4 linked regions of the Saccharomyces cerevisiae S288C genome follow. The gene in region 4 interacts genetically with the main gene of each other region. Each region holds a gene or a part of one and is shown on either strand. Other genes may lie near its edges. The genes, in order: ESF1, AFG2, SNO4 and INM1.

Region 1 (6,666 bases), on a different chromosome or scaffold from region 4:
AGTTAGTTGTATCTACTGTCTTCTTTAAGGATGGAAGATAGATGATATATCCATAAGAGTTTCGAGACGGATGTAGAGCGTAGCCTGGGATGCCACGAGGATGTATTTTGGAGTTAGGGTTGTGATCATTGACGATAACAGGTTGACCGAAAGGTAACAAAGTACTGATATCAAGTCCTGCCAAGCCAGCATGTTGTCTTGCAGATTTTTTGCTTTTAGGTGAAGCTAGTGAATTTCTCACAATAGTAGAAAATTCGATTGCAGAGAACCATAAATAGTTCGGTAAACCACTACATTGCAGTTGAGTACGGCAGTCATCTAATAAGGTACGGTTTAGCCGTTCAGCGACTCCATGTGCTCGGGAATCCGCTGTGGTTGTATAGCATGGAGTTATACCATTTTTTTCAAGGAATTTATGGAGAGTTCTGTTAGTATACTCAGAACCACGGTCCATTTGTATAACCAAGACACTGGCCTGAAACTGGTTCTTAATAAAAGCTAGTATCGTAGTAAAAACATCGAGGATAGAGTCCTCGCGACGGTCGTGTAATGGATAAACCCAACGGAATTTTGTTGTCTCATCAGTAAATGAGATGAAATAGGATGGTGCACTATTTGGTAGGTTGTGAACTGGACCAAATATGTCAGTATGTAGGTATTGAAAGGGTTCGTATGAATTTTGGTATTTTAGTCGTGAACCTTTGATATGTCTGTGTTTGGTGCTTTTGCCGATTAAACAATCAGGACATTGATAGTCAATAGCACTAGACCAGTCGACATCTGATTCGTTAAAATACGTGATGGTGTTATTTTTAAGTGAGTATCGAATTGTCTGTGCATTGGCATGCGCAAGCATTCGATGAATGAAAGGATAAGGATATTTGCGTGTACTTTCACTTGTATGGACATTATTGATGGTGGGTACGGAGATATTTGATGGAAGCAAGTACCTTTTAGATACCCAGTAAAAGTCTCCATATTGTACGATAGGTGCAAGTACAGTGCCGTCAGATCGTTCTAAGACGTTTTTGGTAAAGCATGCTGTGATATCTACTGCAGCCAATTCATTCAAACTGAGTAAGTCATAGGCTATGTTAGGAGTGTGCAATACCTTTATTGATGTTTTGGTGTTGTCCTGGAAGTGAAATTGTAGGTCACCAATAGCGTTAATTGGTATATTTCTTTTTTGAGCATCAACTACGTTTATGTCAGGATTAGATGATGCTGAGTGTATGTGATGAGCAGATCTTATAAGGGTTCGTGATGCTCCTGAATCGAGAAGGAGGTGTCCAGGGAGTTCATCATCAGAATGATTAGTGTGATTTACCGTAGATTCAGTAAGTTCCTGGCCTAAGGTGAAGGTCGTGCTTATTGTTCAATTGAATCGGTTCAGTAGTTGATTTACTGATGGAATCGTTGTCCGTGCTGGGAGAGTTATTAGATGTGGATACATTGTGAGCCCTGGCTGTTTTCGATTTCGAATTATTTGTTTTTTGAGGATTCCGAGCTATAACTTTGGGTTTGGTTGTATTCGTATAGCTGCGAGAATCATTCTTCTCATCACTCAGATTTCTCCTGTAATTAGGTTTGCTGTTTCTCGATCCCTGTTGTTCTTCATAAATAGCATGGATATCTAAGAACAGTTCAGCGACTGTCATATTTAGATGTCGATGACGTGTGTAGCGTAAAAATTTATATTCGCCAGATAGACCTCTCATAATTAATTGGCATGCGACCTTGTTATTGATATGAATGCCATTATTGTTCAGTCTGTCGATAATGTTTGTGACTTTTGTTTCAAATGCATCTGCAGGTGTACTGCCATTATATTGCAAATTTGCCAGGGTCACAATGTCGTTTGCCTCTTGGGTATCAGATTGCATTTTTTCAATACTTTTGGAAAGAATTTTCATGATATCCGTATAATCAACGGATAGGATGTCTTTGACCCAGGTAGGTAGGAATTGAGAGGGAGCAAATATTTGAAAAGTGTTATACAAGAAGGTGAGTTCATCATCAGTGATCTGACGTACGGGTTTTCCGTTTACTGTCGGAATAATACCACCGAGATTCGAGTTTTGTAAAAATTTGATGTATGTTTTAACCCAATTTGGAAAGTCATTAGGTGAGGTTAACATTGGTGGTGGTCTGACATATTTTTTAGTGGATGTCATATCAGAGTCCGCTGAGGATGAATCAGTAAATGTATTACCTGACTCAGGTGATGGAGTGCTCAGAGGCGTTCCAACTGATGATGGATACTGCGGAAACTGTGATTGTGGCCCAGGTGGAAAGTACATAGGCGACATTTGATAAGGTGTATACGGAATCATAGATGGGTGTCCGTAAAATGACCAACCAGATGGATTGGCTTGGTTTTGGGTCATCATGCACTGCTGTGGGTACGGCCCATTCTGTGGAGGTGGTACTGAAGCAGGTTGAGGAGAGGCATGATGGGGGTTCTCTGGAACAGCTGATGAAGCAGGTGTTGTTGTCTGTTGAGAGTTAGCCTTAGTGGAAGCCTTCTCACATTCTTCTGTTTTGGAAGCTGAAACGTCTAACGGATCTTGATTTGTGTGGACTTCCTTAGAAGTAACCGAAGCACAGGCGCTACCATGAGAAATGGGTGAATGTTGAGATAATTGTTGGGATTCCATTGTTGATAAAGGCTATAATATTAGGTATACAGAATATACTAGAAGTTCTCCTCAAGGATTTAGGAATCCATAAAAGGGAATCTGCAATTCTACACAATTCTATAAATATTATTATCATCATTTTATATGTTTATATTCATTGATCCTATTACATTATCAATCCTTGCGTTTCAGCTTCCACTAATTTAGATGACTATTTCTCATCATTTGCGTCATCTTCTAACACCGTATATGATAATATACTAGTAATGTAAATACTAGTTAGTAGATGATAGTTGATTTCTATTCCAACATGCTTCAACAATCTCGGAAGCATCGCTCAGAAGCGCAAATACAACTCTGTGTCTACTATGCCAAGAGAGGACGATTGAAATCTGCTAATAGCCCTATATCCAAAGATTAGCAATATGAGCCGGGCCAAATATCCCAGATGAGGCTACCGATCATTATTGACGTTCCGAAATTTTTCAGTTACAGAAAAAATTTCATCTCATCTCATCTCAAATTCATCATTAGCATAATGGTACAAATAATAAATATCACATAACTGTGGGTCCGGAATATTTTTCAAGACATTTCAGCGGATCGTATAAGGTTGCAAGAAAAATTGAAGATGGCTGGAGAGAACCCAAAGAAGGAAGGTGTAGATGCTAGGTTTGCCGGGATCTACAGCGATCCTAAATTTAAGAACACGAAAACCAAAGATCATAAGATCAAGTTAGATTCTAGGTTCAGTAAGAAGGATCTGGAGGTCCAGCATAAATCTAAGGTTGACAAGTATGGTAGAAAGATCAAAAATGCGCAGAATAACAGGGAATTGGAAGATTTCGACAAATATTTCGAAAAGGAAGCAGAAAATGATGAAGATTCAGAAGTTAATGCGAAAACAGTAGTGGACCGTGCCCGTGGTGAAGTTCCTGATGATTATGTTAGCTCTTCTGATGAATTCACTTCTTCTGATTCTGAATCGTCCGGAGAAAGTGAAGTTGAAAGCGAAGAAGAAAATGAAGTAGAAATTGAAAATGCCAAACCAGAATCTGGTGACATCTCTAAGAATTTGGCCGTCGTAAATTTAGATTGGGACCATGTTAAATCTGAGGATTTGATGATTACCTTTTCCAGTTTCGTTCCTAAAGGTGGTAAAATTGAAAGAGTTGCTATTTATCCAAGTGAATTTGGTAAAGAAAGAATGCAACGCGAGGAAGTTGAAGGACCTCCAAAGGAACTTTTCCAAAAGAAAAATAAGAACAAAACCTCCAAAAAGAAGAAAACTGATGACTCTGATTCTGATATGGACATCGGTATTAAGGATCTTTATGAAGAGGGAGATGCTGACAAGGACGTGGATTCCAGAGCTTTACGTCAATACCAGTTGGACAGATTAAGATATTATTACGCAATAGTTTATTGTAGTGATACAACCACCTCCAAAGCTATCTATGATAACTGTGATGGTACCGAATATGAGTCAACCGCTAATATGTTCGATTTAAGGTATGTTCCTGATGGTATGACTTTTGATGATGATGTAAGAGATGAATGCAGTATATTGCCTAAGAACTATAGGCCACACCAGTTTAGCACAGATGCTCTACAACATTCAAGCGTCAAATTGACCTGGGATGAAACGCCAGCTGATAGGGTCGAAGTTGCTAAGAGGGCCTTTACCCAAAAGGAAATTGATGATATGGACTTTAAGGCTTACTTGGCGTCAGATAGTGATGAATCGGATGGGCAGGTCGATGAAGAGGCGAAAAATAAACTAAAGTCGTTGGTTGGTGACTTTGGGTTTAATTCCAAGAAAGAAACCCCTAACGATGAAGATGAAGAAGTTGATATGGAAATTACATTTACTCCAGCCTTGGAAGGAGGAAACGAGAAATCGTCGGAAGACAAAGAAGAAACGACTATAGAGAAAATAAGAAGAAAAGAGAAGGAACGTCGTAAAGCAAGAAAGCAGAAAGTAAAGGAATTGAAACAGCAGTCGGAGAAGGATAAGAAAAGCAAGTTGAAATCTGTTAATAAAAAGCATACTAACGATGAAGAGGAGATCGAAAAGAATGCCAAATCAAAGGCTGAATTGGAGCTTTTAATGGATGATGATGATGATACCGAAACTCAGGGCACAATAAATAACAAAGCACATTTCAACATGAACGAAATCTTAAGATCAGAAAAAGAAAAACACAAGAAAGGCCGGTATCAAAAGAAAGAGAGAATTGTTGAAGACACCTTTACACCTGATTTAGAAGATCCTAGATTTAAAGAAGTCTTCGAAGATCACGATTTTGCTATCGACCCGACCCAGCCTGAATTCAAAGGTACACAAGCTATGAGTAAAATCCTAAAAGAACGTAGTAAACGTGTTAAGAATAAGAAAAGAAAACTTGGCGGTAGTGAAAACAATATGACCAATAACGCAGATGATAATGAAGATATTGGTAACTTGGTAAACAAGTTGAAAAAGAAAAGCAAATCATCCAAGAAGGTAAAGGTTTAAAGCAGTCAATGAAATAGTATTTAAATGAAACTTGAATACAAATAGATATGTACAATTATAAAGAATGCATCATTGGATTTGTAGTTGATATCAATTATCGTAATGTTTCTCTGACCGGTTCTTGTAATACCATTTCTTTGAATTTTCTTTTTTGTATTTTGTCTTATTTACGAGGGAGTACTGTGTCCTTGCTAGAGATGAGGTAAAAAAAAAATCTTGAAATTTTTCCTTTATTTTTGGCCAAATAGTGCAACAAACACGGCATGTACTTTGAAGAGCAGATGAAATGGGTTTAGTAGACGGTTATGACACAAGCTCAGACTCTGATTTGAACTTCGACGAAGGCAAATCTGTTCATGAAAAGAAAAATGGTAATTTGCATGAAGATACTTCGTATGAACCTTCTTCAAATAATATTCATAAGAGAAAATCACATTTTACAAAGTCAGAACTAAAAAGAAGACGGAAAACTCGCAAAGGAGATGGGCCGTGGGGCAGTTGGTCAAGTAGTGACGATGAAACTTCACAAGCCAGCGAAACTCAGAAAGAAGATCAGGATATCTTCGTGCACGCGCTGGCTGAGGACAACCTAGATTCGGAACAGATAGAGGTAGAGGAAGTCTCCCATTTTTATGGTAAATCAGAAAAGGACTATCAAGGCAGAGGATATTTATATCCACCAAATGACGTCGATGTTGATCTTCGTGAGGAAAGGATATCCTTTCGGTGTTACTTACCAAAAAAAGTTATACGTAATTATCCGGGGCATCCAGAAGGAACCACTGCCCTGAAATTCTTACCTAAAACTGGACACTTAATTCTCTCTGGTGGTAATGATCATACTATAAAAATTTGGGATTTCTACCATGACTATGAATGCCTACGAGATTTTCAAGGTCATAACAAGCCTATTAAAGCATTACGATTCACCGAAGACTGTCAATCTTTTTTGAGCTCTTCCTTTGATAGAAGCGTTAAAATTTGGGATACTGAAACTGGTAAAGTGAAAACCAGGTTGCACCTTAATTCAACGCCTGCAGATGTTGAATCTCGGCCCACTAACCCACATGAGTTCATTGTAGGTTTATCGAATTCGAAAATATTACATTATGATGATCGTGTTTCAGAAAATCAAGGTCTTGTGCAGACATATGATCATCACCTAAGTAGCATTCTGGCTCTCAAGTATTTTCCCGATGGTTCGAAGTTTATTTCTTCTTCAGAGGATAAGACGGTAAGAATTTGGGAAAATCAGATCAATGTACCAATAAAACAAATAAGTGACACGGCTCAACATTCTATGCCATTTTTAAATGTACATCCGTCTCAGAACTATTTCTGTGCACAAAGCATGGATAATAGAATATATTCTTTCAGTTTGAAACCCAAATATAAGAGGCATCCAAAAAAGATATTTAAAGGGCATTCATCTGCTGGTTATGGGATAAGCTTGGCTTTTTCTGGTGATGGTCGTTACATATGTTCAGGCGATTCAAAAAGCAGACTATT
Region 2 (4,558 bases), on a different chromosome or scaffold from region 4:
AATAAGAAAAATAAGATCCATTTGCGGAACGCTGCCTAAGGCACTCGGTAAATCGTCACTTAGCTGATCATCGAGTAACGTAATTTTCCTTACAGGAGTTGATTGAGTCAAATCTTGGAAAGTTAGCAAACTATTGAGTACTGGCAATACACTTGGTTGAACCACAAGAACTTCATCATTTTGAGATATCTCATTTAAGGTAGCACATAGTCCATCGGCATTTGTTAATGAAAATTTCTTAGTATTCCAAAATCTATTCATCGTGAAATGATTTGATAAAGTTGGAGATGGGCAATATCAGCTTTTTCTTCCTTTCTCGAATTTTCTATCTTTTAACTAATTAACATATAACTAGTTCCAATTTGCTAACCTTTATGATATTTTATTTATGTATGTTCGTGTGAAGTGATTAATATATTATACAAAATGACCGGAGTTCAGTATAATTTCTATCTACTATTATTGAGCACACAAAGGAAAAGAATTGACTATGAACAAGCTTACGAAGATGAACCGCTTCTTAGAGCAAACTCTTCATAATAAGAGAGCATTTCTGGAGTAATGCCCCTAGCAATTCCTTTAAAAGCTTTCTCAAAATGACGTAATTCCACTTTTGCGACATCTAAATCTTCCATTATGGCAGCCAAGCCCGCTTCTTGACAAAGCAGCACAACTTCAGCTCCGGAATAACCTTCTGTACGGTCTGCCAATTCATGAAGATCGACTCCAGACTCTTCTGTATTAAATTTCTTTGTGCACTTCTTTAAGATTTCCAAGCGGGCGTTTACGTCTGGAGGGCCAACGTAAATGTGTCTATCTAACCTACCAGGCCTTAGAAGAGCAGCATCTATTTCATCAGGTCTATTCGTCGCCGCTACAATAACTACACCCTTTAACTCTTCAACACCATCAATCTCATTGAGTAAAGATGTGAGCACGTGATTAGCTGCAGAGGTGGAACTCCCGTCTCTATCAGGAGATAATGCATCGATTTCATCAAAGAAGATAATACTTGGAGCTGCAGAGCGTGCTTTGCGGAAAATTTCTCTTATAGCTCTTTCGGATTCCCCTACATACTTGTTAAAAATTTCAGGCCCTTTCACAGCTAAGAAGTTGATACCCGATTCTGTAGCGAGAGCTTTTGCGGTTAATGTCTTGGAGCAACCTGGCGGCCCGTAAAGTAATACACCTTTTGGTGCAGAAATTCCCAGCCTGGCAAAAGTCTCCGAAGCCTCCAAAGGCAACTGTATCATTTCTTTCATCTTTGTTTTAAGCTCTTCTTGGCCGCCAATGTCAGACCAATAAACTTTTGGCATTTCTAAGAAGATTTCTCTCATTGCGCTGGGTCTGATATCAACCATGGCGCTCTCCACATCTTTCAATGTAACTTTTAGGGAAAACTTGTCAATATTGGCGTCTGTTCCTAGTCCTCGTTGTATCGTCTTCATAACTGATTCTCTGCAGAGAGCAGTTAAATCAGCACCAACATAGCCATGCGTTTTAGAAGCAATGTACTTGATCGCTTCAGAATCTAATACGTGACGATCCGAGGACATTCTTGAGAATTGCTTAGTTAAAATGTCAAATCTGGCATCAACGTCTGGTATACCAATTTCTACTTCTTGGTCAAACCTGCCAGGTCTCCTGAGAGCAGGGTCGACAGAATTAGGCCTGTTTGTAGCAGCAATTACCACCACTTTACCTGCAGCGCCCATGCCATCCATTAGGGTAAGCAATGTAGCCACGACTCTGCTCTCAACTTCACCGGAGTCATCGTTTGCTCTATTTGGTGCTATTGAATCAATTTCGTCAATGAAAATAATGGAAGGCTGGTACTTCCTTGCTTCATTAAAAATATCTCTTAATGCCGCTTCCGTTTCACCAAGATATTTGGAGACGATTGAGGGGCCATTAATGGTTAGGACGTGTGCGTTGGACGTATTTGCTACAACTCTCAAAAGCATAGTTTTACCAGTACCTGGGGGTCCGTGAAGAAGTATACCTCGAGGGGGAGAAACACCAAAGCTACTAAATAGCGTCGGTTGATGAAGAGGTATTTCAATAGCACTTTTCAGTGATTCAATCTCCTTGTCTAAGCCGCCCACTGCTGCATAGGATAAGGGCTCCGGAAGATTGTATTTACGATTTGCCTGGGTTTCTTTCGAAAAAGTTATATGTGTGGAGCCTTTTCTGAATATAAAAGGTGGAGATAGATAAAACAGGTTATCTAATCCACCGTACATATCGTCCATGTTAAGATCTAGTTGGCTGACGTCGGGAAGCGAATCATCGCTCGCATCTGTAATTACGACATCAATGCTTTCATCACCTGCTTTTGTTTTTAAGTTTTGAAAAATCATTCCAGGCATTATAACGCCACTATCATCCAGTAGCTTTTGAATTACTTTTTCCTCCATACATTCCAAAATATTATATCCTTGTAAGGACCCCACGGTAACCTTAGTGGCATAAGGTGGTTGCACCTGGGCTTTCTTTAATTCTAGACGATCACCAAGGATAAGGTTCCCAACAGATCGTATAGTTGTGGAAAGGGTGATAACATTAACAGGATGTACTTCTTCATCACCCGCTCTAGCTATTACTAAAATACCATTTTCGCCTATCTTACCGACAGTACAAAATGATCCCGGATTTATCTCAAGCGAGGATAATACGTTAGGATGAATATATGCTGTGCATGTTTCCTTGCCATGATCTTTAGAAGGATGTGGTCTGGTAATAAATTCAGCAGGCAATTTAAATTTGGATGCTTTTGCATCAGCACTATTAGAACTTGCCGATGATTTCTTTTTGGAACCGGAAGAACTAGATTTAGGAGCCATTTTCCTTTCTATGATTGGGCAATTTTGAGAATGGGCAATGTTGAGAATTCAATTGTATATTGTTCGCATATTAGTTTATGTGATGAGGCAATATAAAATTTTCTTACAATAGTCCGCCCGTTGCTTACATGAAAGAAAAAAAAAATAAAGATGGATCGAAGTGGACTTAAAAACTATGTATACGTGTGTGTGTGTGTGTGCAATAAGAGTTCGAAAACATTAACTTTTATAAACATGACTCACATTGAGAATAAATGAGCTCTCTATAAATACAAACTTGCGGCGAAAACAATATCTCTCTTAATCAACTCTTGAGCCCTGCTCATCTTCATATGTAATGTGGAATTACCAATAATAATAGAGGCAGTCTTAACTTCGCGGCAAATTTCGTCTAGCCAAGTGATAACTCTGACTACAGTACCTTCAGCCTCGGGGCTCATTTCCATGATTTCTTTGAATGATAAACCACGGGCCCACTCATACACCACATTCATCATGGCAAACCTTTTTCTGTCCAAAAACTCAGCTTCATCCTGAGTTAATGGAATCTGATGCGTATTGAAAACACAAAGCATTTTCTTGTAAATTTCCTCAATTCTTTGTTTACCCTTTGCTAGCCTTGGTGTGACAATAGGAGGCTCCTCTTCCCTGGTTTTCCCCTCATAAACAAATACTGATAATAAGGCTACAATCTCTTCAGGTTCAAAGCTTCCTAAAAAGTTGTCTAAAATTAATTCAGTTAAAACTAACTCATAACCAGAATTAATTTCACATGCCACTCTACCTTTTAACAGCACGTTGTGGTTTTGGTCGATAAATTCAGTGTCTTTCAGAACAGCCAATCTCTTTTCATAATCGGGTAGTAAGCTCAGATTTTGGTCAGACATCAAATGGTACAATTCTTCAATTTTCTTTTTAATTACATGCGCCTTAAACTTGGGAACAATGTGTTGGCTTAGGTTGGGACATTTAATGCTTTTTAGTTTGAATATCTCATCCCTTATATTTGTACGGTCTAACAATATTTGGTGAATTTTTAAACCTTGCTTTTCAATGTTAATTGCTTCTTTTAGCGTTTTGCCGTCCAAAATGTTATTTGTTTCAGCGTTAAACTCGTTCAAAGCGGCAACATCCTTTTTAATCACTTTTCCCAAGGGTGCGGCAAACTTGCGTTTAGTGATCACTTCAATAGCCGTCACAGGAACTTCTTCCATATAAAAATCAGTCTTCTGGAATTTAGGGAAGTTCCTTCTTCTGTATCCATCCGCTTTTGGAAAGTATATTAAATGATTTGGCTCACCATTTGGGAGTTTGTATGGTTTTGTGAACGTCATAATGACACAAACAGCATCCTTCAGAGAAACTTTAAATACAAATCCTAATTTCAAGCAATCATTGGGGTCCCTAAAAGCAACGAGTCTGCCCTCTTTCAAGATATGCAATATCGAAGGCGATTTAACCATTTCTTGCATTAGGTTGACTGTTGCCTCCTTATATGCCAGCATCAATTCCAAAAACTTTTCGATATCATTATCACAGATTTCACAACTTTTGTACTCTATGGTTTGTAATTCCTCTTGTAATACTTTGATTTGTTTTTCATGTTCAGGTTGTAAAGTTTCTTTGGCATTCTCACTAAAAGAATACTTGATCATTTCTTCAACTCTCAACGCCTCAATTCTTAAAAGATTTAATATCATATTGTATGTTAATCT
Region 3 (5,707 bases), on a different chromosome or scaffold from region 4:
CTGAAGTAAAGAATATTTGAAAATACTACACTGATCTTTAATTACTGATCTACAATAACACACAGTGTTGAAGGATAATTCCAAGACTCTCACCTGCGACTGGTCGTGTTAGGAAACCAAACTGAAATATGCTAAATTTCGAGTGAAACCTACCGGAATCGGTACATCTCCAGAGGATTTTAAGTGAAGATTTAACATCGTATAACAAGCATGCATAACTTGTCACTGGGATAAAGAGAAGGTACTAAATTTTCGTAGGCGACAATTTTCCATCTCATAGAGTACTCGAAGAAAAACATAAACACTATTAAAAATAGCTCCTAGTAAAGGCTTTTTGGATTCTAATTCAAGTTTACAAATACCTACCAACAACATTCTTGATATTGTAATCTGCTCTGAAGTAGATACCCTAACGGGATTGTTAAGTCAGGGAGCAGCGTAACGACATTCACGAAAAGCTCTAAAAATGCGTAGATTTGGAAAGCCATGTATTGTTTCACATGAAATTTCGGCCAGGCCTCACATATTACAGCCTTGTAATTATAAGATGGTGCTGAGTTGTAAGGTAAAAAAACCCATTGAGTTATTGCACCTTCAAGAGTTAATACTTTACACTTTTATGAAAATTTGCCTTCACGTAAACTTGATCCAGCAAAACATCAATAAGTTGTCATATATTTCTCGAAAATATCCAAGGGCACCTGCTTTTATCAGCTGCGACAATAGAGCCACGGAGCCAACAAAAAAAGGCTTTTTAGTTTGCCGCATGTAATGATTGGCGAATAATTTTTCAAGGTTATGATTGTTCTTGGGAACACAGATCACGGAATCCTTTTGCCAATAATACATTAGATGGAATATTTGGATACAACTTTCGAATATAACGCCTTTTGAGCTAGCAATATCGACTGTATGGGAATATAAAAGTTAATTTTAGGCAATTTAATTAATCGTGACTGGTCGGAGAAGGCGAGATTGTAGCTCCACCATGTGAGGATTATTGGCAAAGGTTTAGATCCGGTGGAGATTTATCTTCTTTTACCCCATCTTACTTGTGCACTCTCCCAAATTCCCATCTGATGAACTGTTAGTTGATTCCTTTAGATTATAAAACATATGATGTTTACTCTGTTTTTTGTCGGCGAAGTACGGAAAAGCATTTGTGACTCTAAAAAAACATGGCAAGGATAATTAATTAACAATACTTCTTGTGCTGTTTATAAAATGTATTTAGTGTAACATGCTGCTTCCTAGCATATGTATAATGTTAAGAATTTTCCAGTTTCTTTAAAAAGGCATTTACGTGTATTTCTTGACGGCTGCAGAAATCTCTTGGATGTCTTTTGGACTTGTTCTGCAACAACCACCAATGATACGGGCACCGCTGCTAATGTACTGTTTAACAACCGTATCCCAACTGTTCAGCTTATCGCTATTTGGCAACCATATCTTCTTTTCAGTATCATAAACTTCACCACTGTTTGGATAAGCAAGCAAGGCCATATTTGGCAGTGCTTGATGTAGAGACTCAAGAATGTCGGGTGATTGGTTGAAGCTGACGCAGTTGATTCCTAAGAACGAGAGGTTAGGATTTATTTTGTCGCCCAAGTCCATCATCTATTTACTACGAAACGATAAATTTCCCCGTTTTCTTTTACTTTTACTTCATTTAATATAATTCATATTTATTTCCCATGTACCAATTAATTACTCCTAAAAGAACAGAAATAGAAAAAAGTTGTATATAACAAGCCAAAAAAAAAAAAGAAAAAAGGAAACACAGCTTATTTCAAATTGCAATCTGCGTATTTCGTAAGTAACGAATGATCTCACAGCATTGCTTTTTTTTTTTTTTTTTTTATATATATGTACATTACCTATGTCACATATGACCATGATGAGTACAACACTAAAAACCAAGGCCTACTATTCAATTGTTCTCTATATGATTTCCATTCTAGCAAAATCGAGTGCTACCGATCTGCCGTTTTCTTTACCTTTCGAACCATTGAGCTGTTAGCCTTCTCTTCACAGAAACTGAAGGCCATTAGAAGCCTCCCCTTCAACAATTCCCTTGTCTTTTGTTTCAGCTATATAATGCGTTTATAGCTCTAATTGTGGTCGAATAGGAAGAATTTGCGTTAACACCCGTAACTAGCTTTCCATCGGTAATAGAGTAGTCATCCCAGGGATGAATTGGCGCCAAGTACTTGGCTCTATTCTTGTTTGCAACGCGTTCAACCGTTGTCAATTTTCTGCTCCTCAAGATGTCGTCAACTCCCAGGGCGATTTCACCCTCGAGTGGGAAACCTGTTATAGCTTTGCCTTCGATTAATGGTCTTGTTGTTTTGATATCTATTAATCCATCGAAAAGGAGCGGTCCATGACAGATGGCGGCGATCACACCCCCATTGGCATATATCTTGGATGCAATATCTTGCAGATTTTTAGCTTTGGGATAGTCAAATAGAGCACCATGTCCAGCAGATGCAAAGAATATTTTATAGTCGCTGGCGTTGACTTCATTTGCGGTCTTGATCCTCGCTAACGCCTTATTGAAGGCGGAATTTTTCGTTTCAAAGTTCATCTTATCTTCGCCACCAATAAAGCTCTTTGGCAAGTAATGTTCATCCCAGCCAAATCCACCAGTCTCAGAAACGAAGTCCACTTCGAAACCATGCTTTTCGAAAGTATCGAACGACCGCAAAATCTCAACTACAAAAACGCCTGTTTTCGCACCATCTTTATAGAAGGGACCGTGGTATGAAGTAAGAGATATTAGCGCTCTTTTTGGAGTCATTGCAAGGCCAGTTTTCTTTTTGAATGAAGGAGAAAAGTGTTCTAGAAATATGTTTTAGTTCTAAGTATCGTTGTCTGGAGCAAGCAAAGAAAAGCAGACCTGTATGTGCAACTTTCTTGTTTTCCATTAAAATCTCAAGAACCGGCCCCTTGACTGTGCTCATATATCAAGTATCGGTTTTAAAGTCCCCTAATTGTGATAATTGCAAGAATGACAGTCAAAAAGATATTTTTCTTTTCTTTCTTTTTACCTATCCTTCATGAAAATACCTATGCTGATACTGAATATCTTCATTTGCAGCTATGCAATATTTCAGATACTGCATTTTACCCAAGAGTTTCTTTACTGGTGGTTGGATTTTTTTTAAGACGAGAAGATTACCAGTCCTGGATGTTCATGAATGTGCCTATTGCGTCATCAGCGACTCCGCGCCAAGAAAAGAAATACTCGCATGCTCGGATTTATAGAATCGCATAATGGAAATAGCTTCCTTAAAGGATGGAGATAAGGAAAAAATGACAAGAACAAGGAAGTACTTGGGAGCTTTCTCCGACATGTTAAATATTTGAAACTCACGCAGCTCTCCTGGAAAGTTGCATCTGGAAAGGTAAGGTTGTTTTTTGTTCAGACATCAAAATCGGCTCTTGTAGACAATGTCACAGATCCACAAGTTGAAAAAAAAGTTTCGATGAACTGGATAAGGGGAGAGGTCACAAACAAAGTGTAGGGGGTGAGTAGTATAGTGGTAACTTGTTCATTTACCTAAATAACATTCTCACTAGAAAAGAGATATTGAAAGACTCCTCGTTTACCTAACTTGGCTGGTTCTTAGGTATATAATAGAAACATGGATCTGGCAGGTTATTACTTACAGTTTGCATTCCCACCAGGTAACAATTTTCATTATATATAGTTATTTTTTACCACCACTTCTTCTTCTTTCACTTTGTCTTGCAATAGAAATACCAAAACAAGGTGAGGAAAAAATCGAATCTCAACGATAAAAATATGTCCATCACGAAGGTACATGCTAGAACGGTGTATGATTCTCGCGGTAATCCGACTGTTGAGGTTGAAATTACAACAGAGAATGGTCTCTTCAGAGCGATCGTCCCATCTGGTGCCTCCACCGGCATTCACGAAGCTGTTGAACTTAGAGACGGGAACAAGTCCGAATGGATGGGAAAAGGGGTGACCAAGGCAGTCAGTAACGTCAATAGTATCATAGGGCCTGCTTTAATCAAGTCCGACTTATGTGTAACCAATCAGAAGGGCATAGACGAGCTCATGATATCGTTAGACGGAACTTCTAACAAGTCAAGGTTGGGCGCCAATGCTATCCTTGGTGTTTCCTTGTGCGTTGCTCGAGCTGCTGCCGCACAAAAGGGAATTACTCTCTACAAGTATATAGCCGAGTTAGCGGATGCTAGACAGGACCCCTTTGTTATTCCTGTTCCTTTTTTCAATGTTTTGAATGGTGGAGCCCACGCCGGTGGCTCTTTAGCTATGCAAGAATTCAAGATCGCGCCAGTCGGGGCTCAGAGCTTTGCAGAAGCCATGAGGATGGGTTCGGAGGTTTACCATCATTTGAAGATATTGGCGAAGGAGCAATATGGACCTTCCGCTGGAAATGTTGGTGACGAGGGTGGAGTCGCCCCCGATATCGACACTGCCGAGGACGCCTTGGACATGATTGTGAAAGCCATTAACATATGCGGTTACGAGGGTAGAGTGAAAGTAGGAATCGATAGTGCTCCTTCTGTTTTTTATAAGGACGGGAAATACGACCTAAATTTCAAGGAACCGAACTCTGACCCATCTCACTGGCTCAGTCCAGCTCAGTTAGCAGAATATTATCATTCATTGCTAAAGAAATACCCAATCATTTCCCTGGAAGACCCCTACGCCGAAGATGATTGGTCCTCGTGGTCTGCCTTCCTAAAGACTGTCAATGTTCAGATAATTGCAGATGACCTGACATGCACCAACAAGACCAGGATCGCCCGTGCTATAGAGGAGAAATGTGCGAATACTCTGTTGCTGAAACTCAACCAGATCGGTACTCTGACTGAGTCTATTGAAGCCGCCAATCAGGCTTTCGATGCTGGATGGGGTGTAATGATATCACATAGATCAGGTGAAACCGAAGATCCGTTTATCGCTGATTTGGTCGTTGGTTTAAGATGTGGTCAAATTAAATCGGGCGCTTTGTCGAGATCAGAAAGACTGGCCAAGTATAATGAACTTTTGCGTATCGAAGAGGAACTGGGGGACGATTGTATATATGCTGGTCATAGGTTTCATGATGGAAACAAACTATAAAGGATTGTCTTGTTTCCTTTTTTTTTTTTTTGTTTTTTTATGACTAAATAAAGTAAATCATATGAGGTTTTATTTTTTATTTCGTTGATTTGGGTTACAGTATGGAAATGGGGCATTTGACACAAGTTATTTTATTCATATGTTTTATCTTGTAGGAAATCAAACCGTTTTTAAAGTTTTCCATTGCCTACACACAAAATCATTACGAATCTGTCTGAACAAGGGTGGACGTGTGGGGGAAGGCTGTTCCAATCAAGAAATGCTTACAACTCTACTAACACTGCAGTTTTTCAGCTTTCTGATTAATCTCTTCGGTTTAAATTTTTTAGCAGCTATTACTTTCTAGTAACCCTTATAACGCGGTTGGTATCAAATCTTCCTGATAGTACAAGCAGACCTTTGACCCCATTCTTGTTGTGTCTTGAAATCTTTTTTTCTGACAAAAGTAAGAAGTTACACCATAATAGAGAAGTTAAATAATGAAAGTGTATCGATCATAGAAATGATTTCATTTTTTTCAACTACTGTTACGGTCAAGAAACTAATAATGAGGATAAGTTTTCGCAACAATGATTTTGGTGCAAG
Region 4 (5,839 bases):
ATCACCCCAAGCACTGAACAATTGAATAAAATAAGAGCTCAATTAGGATCCCGTGTAGTCCTCGAGTTATATTGTCCCTACGCTATCATGGGACCTGTGGCACATACCAATTTTTATGACTATAGGGTTTTTGGAAAATCTGTGGACGATAACGTTGTATGTTATGGAACACTAAGTACAACATTAGAAGGAAAAATGGTAGAAACGGAAACAAACCCTCATTTGAACATAGAGAAGAAGCAGGGTATGTTATGTATTCGTGGTTTTAGCATAGGTAAACCAGTAGAGTCCGATCGTTTAGAGAAAGCTTTGCATTTAGCTGAAAGGTTTGGAGGAGGTGAAGGATGGATGCCTCTAGTTGGCGTTTTTGGACTATTTGGCCAAGACGGTTGCTTATACATCTATAATCAATGAGCATTATCTATCGCTTTATTATTTATTATTTATTATTATCATTATTATTATTATCATTATTATTATTACTACCAATACCTTCTATATCCCTGTGATCAGCTAAAATGATTCAAATAACTGTCATTTTAATCGTACATTTTATATTAGGCCTAATGTGCTGACGATCAGTCATATTTCAAATGGCCATCAACACAGTTCCAAAAGTCTGTGATATATTTTGTTTGTTCGTCACTTTCGTTATTAATTGTTCCCCTCACAGCCAAATATGTCCTATTGTCGACATCAATACTCCATTCACCTGGATTGGCACCTACTACACGACCGCCCACTTCTTTCAAAATACACCATCCAGCACACACGTCCCACGAATAGCAACCACCATCCCAATAACTATCAAGGTACCCCATAGCAATATATGCCATTGTCATTGCAGATGATCCTAAATTTCTGAATCCATGAACAAAACCGTAATCACATGATAGTAATTTTTCATATGTGGCCATTTTTGTCTGAAAATTCTTTCCCTCTCTAGCGGAACCTGGCTGTAATGCCACTACGGATTTATTTAGTATTAGAGAACCCATAGATTCCAATTTTGATTTATAGTCATAGTCCTTGTTGTTAACTCTCATCCCATTTCCTTTAGAAGCGGATACCAGAAGATTAATGTGAGGATTATATATAACGCCTACTACGGGCTCTTTGTTTACTGTGAGCCCAAGAGAGGTACAGCTAAATGGGAAATCATGAACAAAGTTTGTAGTCCCATCAATTGGATCAATAATAAAGGTAGGATCATCAGTAATCACGGTCTCCCCTTTCACATAACTTTCCTCTCCAATAAACTTGAAAGTTGGATATTGGGTTTTTACCGATTCCCAAATTAACTTTTCGACCTGTTTATCGATAGCAGTTACAATATCAACGCTCCTGGAGCCAGTCTTCAAGTCATAATCCTTTTGAGTGCCGGACTTGGATTTGATGATTGGTCCTACTTTTTCAGTAGCCAGTTCACAGAGGAATTTCTCGATAGAAGCTAGATCAATGGTCATGGTATATGTGTATATGCGTGTACCAGCTGTTGATTTCCTTATTCATCCAAAAAAAAGAAAACACTGGGGTTATTTAACAAGCAGTTAAATGTGAAGTAAGAGATAAAAGACCTATATTAATACCATTTTTGGAAAAGCAACGTGCGCAACAATGAAAGTCACTCGATGCATCCATTATTCAAAAAAAAGTTTTTTTTTTTTTTCCATACATCATCAGATGAAAAAATCTCGCTATGACGCACGCCAGTCAATATTCACTCAGTTCTTCCGAAAGGAAGCAGAAGAAAGTTCTCTATACTTGGAAATGTGTCAATGAAGATGTTATCAGATTCATTTTCTGCTAGCTACTATATTTCTACATAAGCAAGTAGTAATCTCTTTATTAATTACACGTGGTTTTGACTCATTGGCATATGTATATATTTGTGTTGTAGGTGCTCGTGAAAAAAAAAAGCTATTGATCATACTCATGCTCACGCAAGTAGGTAGCAACGATTTCACGATCTCTGCTCACCCATTGCGCCTTGGATCTAATAGTGTCTAAGGCTTGAGCCAGGGTTTGATCAAAACCTTTAGTGACCTTTCTACTATAGAACGCACTAATTTTTTCAAGGGCTTCAAAAGAGGTAAAATTAGTTAAACCCAATGTCAACACGCCACCCAACACAGGCGAGCCTGGCTGTAATCTCTTAGCAATTTCGTCCCAGTGTTCTTGCATCCAAGCCCATAACCTTTCAATACCCTTCTTATGAACTCTAATGCCTTGCATTGGGATGTAAAAATCTTGATTCAAAACTGTACCATCTAGCAGATAAGACAATGTCCTTTCTAAAAGTTCTTTGTCTTCAAATCTGCCCAAAGCTCTCAAAGCGATAATCTTTTCTTCTGACGAAACAGGGTTTTGATAGATGTTGAAAATCTTTTCGTAATTGTTTTCTCCGCCAAGTCTGGCAACGGTGTTGAAAACAACTGCCTTGAACAGTGCAGGTATGGCCTGTTTGTTCCCATTGGCGTATTCCTCAAACATTTCTACCGCAATCGATTGCATTTTTTCATTGCCAGAAGTGCATGCGGCACTGAAAAGGGTCACTTTTAAACGTTGGATAGCAAAGGAGTCGTCTTCGCCAATATTCCACCCCAATTCAGAAAGTTTGTTAAGTACTAGATCCAAAGTAAATTTATCTAGAGCATTCAATATATCCTCTGGTTCGAAGACCCAAGTAGATTTCAGAGCGGATAAACTATTAATGATTTGTTCCCAAACAACAAATGAATCCTCGTTTTTCCAATTAGAAATTAAATTCAAGAAGTTAGTAGTAGAGGTATAGCCAGATGCAGAAAGGGCTTTTGCATCTGCGACTAAGCCAACACGATCCTCTACGGATAATAAATTTGCCTGTTTGGATAGCTTAGCCCATCTTTCGTCAGAATAAGAGGTAATGAAAATACCAGATTGGTCACCATTAATCTTGAAGAACTCTTCATTCTTTAATTCGAAAGTAGCAGATTTTTCGTTCAATACCAATGTGTTATCGATACCTGTACTGTCTTTCAAAGCTAACAAAATGGGGTATATGGTTGTATCTTCCTCTTCTTTAACATCACCGGTACTTAAATAACGGTGTTGAGTTAATGTGATTTTGTTCTTGTGTTCCTTGACAGATAACACTGGAAAACCAACACGTTTTGTCCAGATGTTCATCACCGAACAAACGTCCTTGCCAGAGGCATCTGCTAAGGCGTCCCACAAATCTCCGGTCTTTGCATTACCGTATTTGAATTTATTCAGGTATTGGGACACACCTTTAATAAAAGTCTCTTCACCCAACCATTTGGAAATCATCCTCAATAAAGAAGATCCTTTAGAATAAGAAATAGCATCAAAAATTTGATTGATTTCGTCCGCATTATTAACGGGAACTTCAATTGGATGGGAAGATCTTAATGAATCTAAATTTAGAGCACGTTGTAAATTGTCAGTAACATATTGCTCCCAAACTTTCCATTCTGGTTGAAACTTGTTGCAAGAGTACCAAGACATCCAAGTGGCAAAACCTTCATTCAACCATAAGCCTTCCCACCAATCCATGGTGACCAAGTTGCCGAACCATTGGTGGGCTAGTTCATGCTGAATAACCTCAGCAACTCTTTGAATGCGATCTAAACTCGAATTTTCTATGTCTAATAACAAATCAATAACTCTATAAGTCACTAGCCCCCAGTTTTCCATAGCACCAGCAGAAAACTCATGAACTGCCACCATATCCATCTTTGGCAATGGATATTCTATGTTGAAGGTGTCCTCAAAGAATCTCAAGGTCCTAGCAGCTAAATTGGCTGCAAACTGACCAAATTTTTCGTCCCCTGGGGTAGAATAAACTCTTACTGGAATACGGAAATTATTGCTTTCCACGTATCTCAGGTCAGCTACAATAAATGCTACTAAGTACGTAGACATCTTTGGAGTCGTGTTAAAAGTTGTATATTTCTTACCCTCTTTGATTGTTTCATTCCTGACATCCATGTTGGACAAATGAGTCAGAAACGATTCAGAGACCAAAGTTACTGCAAAAGTCGCCTTCAAATTTGGTTCGTCAAAACAAGGAAAGGCTCTTCTAGCATCTGTGGCTTCCATCTGAGTAGTAGCCATGTACTTCGTCTCCCCTGTGACTTTATCCGTATACTTAGCCCTGTAAAATCCCGCCATCTGATCATTTAGAATACCGGAAAAGATAATTTCTAACTTCGCAGAAGGTCCTAGGTTTTCAAAAGTTCCATTAGGAAAGACAAGAGTAGCTTTTTGTTGGTTTTCGTTTTTGTTAACTTCAATGGCATTGACACCCTCAATACGTGCAGAATGGAAATCTATTTCTAAGTAATTTATTTGCACAGAGTTTATCGAATGATCATTAATCTGCAGGTCAATTTTTAATGACCCTTCAAACGTAAAAGCACGGAAATTAGGTTCTAGTGTAATGTCATAATGCAATGGGGTAACGTTGTTTGGCAGTACTTCACGGGACATGGTATTAGCTGAGAGGGCAATTTGGCTTGCTTGAACAGGAACCCTCAAAGAAAAATCACGAATTGAATAAGCTTCCCTGAAGATAATTCTAAATGATTAGCTAAGATTACTCATAAAGTCAAAAGTTTGATCGCTAACAAAAGGGAAAAAAACGGAAAAAAAATAAAAAAATGTGTCAAACTCCCACAGCCAAGTCCAAGAGTACGAAAAAAAACTTTCACAACGAGTTCAAAAAATGTGGGATGAAGACTCCCGTTTTTCACCGCCTAGAAAACAGCGTTTGCTGAGAAAAAAAATAAATCATCGAGAAGAAGTATGTCATCATAGGATGTTCCCATTGTAAGGTGATGTGTAACATACTCGAACAAAGAATGTATAGAGCTGAATATTTCTCCTTTAAATTTCAAAGAAAATGAGAAGGAAAATCTCAAACAGAAACTTCGTTCTTTTTCTCAAGTAAGCAAAAGCTTATTGAGACAAAGCGGAATAACTACGATATTAATAACGTTGATGAAGCTCGAACAAAGTTAGCGTCGGTTATGCTTGCCTATATAAAGATATATTTGCCTTACATTTTCGTTGAACGTAGAATGATTTTTGCTTTTAATAAATTTTTTGTTGTTCTTTCAGTGCTTCTTCAACTTTGATACGAAAGCAAGTGCATTAGTACAACAAGAACTGGCCACAACTATACTATACTCATTTTTTCTTGCCCGTGTTTTAAATGTTTTCATCCACAGCATTTGATGGGATGATTGGAAGTGAGACGTTCGAGAAAATCCATATTTTGAGTCAAGAATTCAGATAATATACTGAGATGATTAGGTATGGCTGGGTTCTACAAAAACACAAATATCCGGCTAGCAATGATCACTGAGCAAATTAAAGCGTTAACTCACTCATTATTGTAGCTTATGCGTTTCTCCTCCTCTCTTTTTTTCCTCGAACCGGAGTGGAAGATCCAATAACGTAATATTACTGATGTTGTTATTAAAGCTGGCAAAAATAACATGAGGCGTAAAACCGCACTGCGGTAAGATGAGGGTATAAGGTGGAGATCAGGCGAACAAGCTGTTCTAAATCATACATATGTACAATGAGAACGTGTAACGATCCAATGAGCGTTTCATGATGCCATTGTTTAATCAGAGTGATGAAAAAGAAATATTTGCGACCTTTTTTCGTTACATTGATCGTGAAATTTTAATCAAAGATAATATAAGGACGTGAGATATTTATCTTTTTACTTGAAATTAACAATAGAATTGCGCTAAGCGGAATAAGAGCTTTCGTAAACCTTTCTATTTGCACCATTGCGTCAACGTATAAAATGGTATGACCTTTACAC

Evidence for each region.
Region 1: mutations in INM1 (region 4) and ESF1 together harm fitness less than expected from each alone (positive genetic interaction), as found in Saccharomyces cerevisiae (one large-scale study listed by BioGRID).
Region 2: mutations in INM1 (region 4) and AFG2 together harm fitness more than expected from each alone (negative genetic interaction), as found in Saccharomyces cerevisiae (one large-scale study listed by BioGRID).
Region 3: mutations in INM1 (region 4) and SNO4 together harm fitness more than expected from each alone (negative genetic interaction), as found in Saccharomyces cerevisiae (one large-scale study listed by BioGRID).

What each region holds. Positions count from the first base shown.
Region 1 is NC_001136.10:1,202,988-1,209,653, reverse strand, and holds ESF1 (pre-rRNA-processing protein ESF1), read left to right. Parts: upstream 1-3,270; coding exon 3,271-5,157; downstream 5,158-6,666. Other genes in the region: YDR365W-A (gag protein), read right to left, coding at 1,335-2,657; CDC40 (Cdc40p), read left to right, coding at 5,444-6,666. UniProt on the Saccharomyces cerevisiae protein: Involved in the 18S rRNA synthesis. Required for the early cleavages at sites A0, A1 and A2.
Region 2 is NC_001144.5:912,050-916,607, forward strand, and holds AFG2 (AAA family ATPase AFG2), read right to left. Parts: upstream 2,844-4,558; coding exon 501-2,843; downstream 1-500. Other genes in the region: tethering complex ATP-binding subunit VPS33, read right to left, coding at 1-261; SKI complex RNA helicase subunit SKI2, read right to left, coding at 3,107-4,558. UniProt on the Saccharomyces cerevisiae protein: ATP-dependent chaperone which uses the energy provided by ATP hydrolysis to generate mechanical force to disassemble protein complexes.
Region 3 is NC_001145.3:916,280-921,986, forward strand, and holds SNO4 (glutathione-independent methylglyoxalase family protein), read right to left. Parts: upstream 2,801-5,707; coding exon 2,087-2,800; downstream 1-2,086. Other genes in the region: YMR320W (uncharacterized protein), read left to right, coding at 467-772; YMR321C (uncharacterized protein), read right to left, coding at 1,300-1,617; phosphopyruvate hydratase ERR3, read left to right, coding at 3,809-5,122. UniProt on the Saccharomyces cerevisiae protein: Catalyzes the conversion of methylglyoxal (MG) to D-lactate in a single glutathione (GSH)-independent step. May play a role in detoxifying endogenously produced glyoxals. Involved in protection against reactive oxygen species (ROS).
Region 4 is NC_001140.6:196,820-202,658, forward strand, and holds INM1 (inositol monophosphate 1-phosphatase INM1), read right to left. Parts: upstream 1,467-5,839; coding exon 579-1,466; downstream 1-578. Other genes in the region: DDE1 (Dde1p), read left to right, coding at 1-414; AAP1 (arginine/alanine aminopeptidase), read right to left, coding at 1,921-4,491. UniProt on the Saccharomyces cerevisiae protein: Responsible for the provision of inositol required for synthesis of phosphatidylinositol and polyphosphoinositides.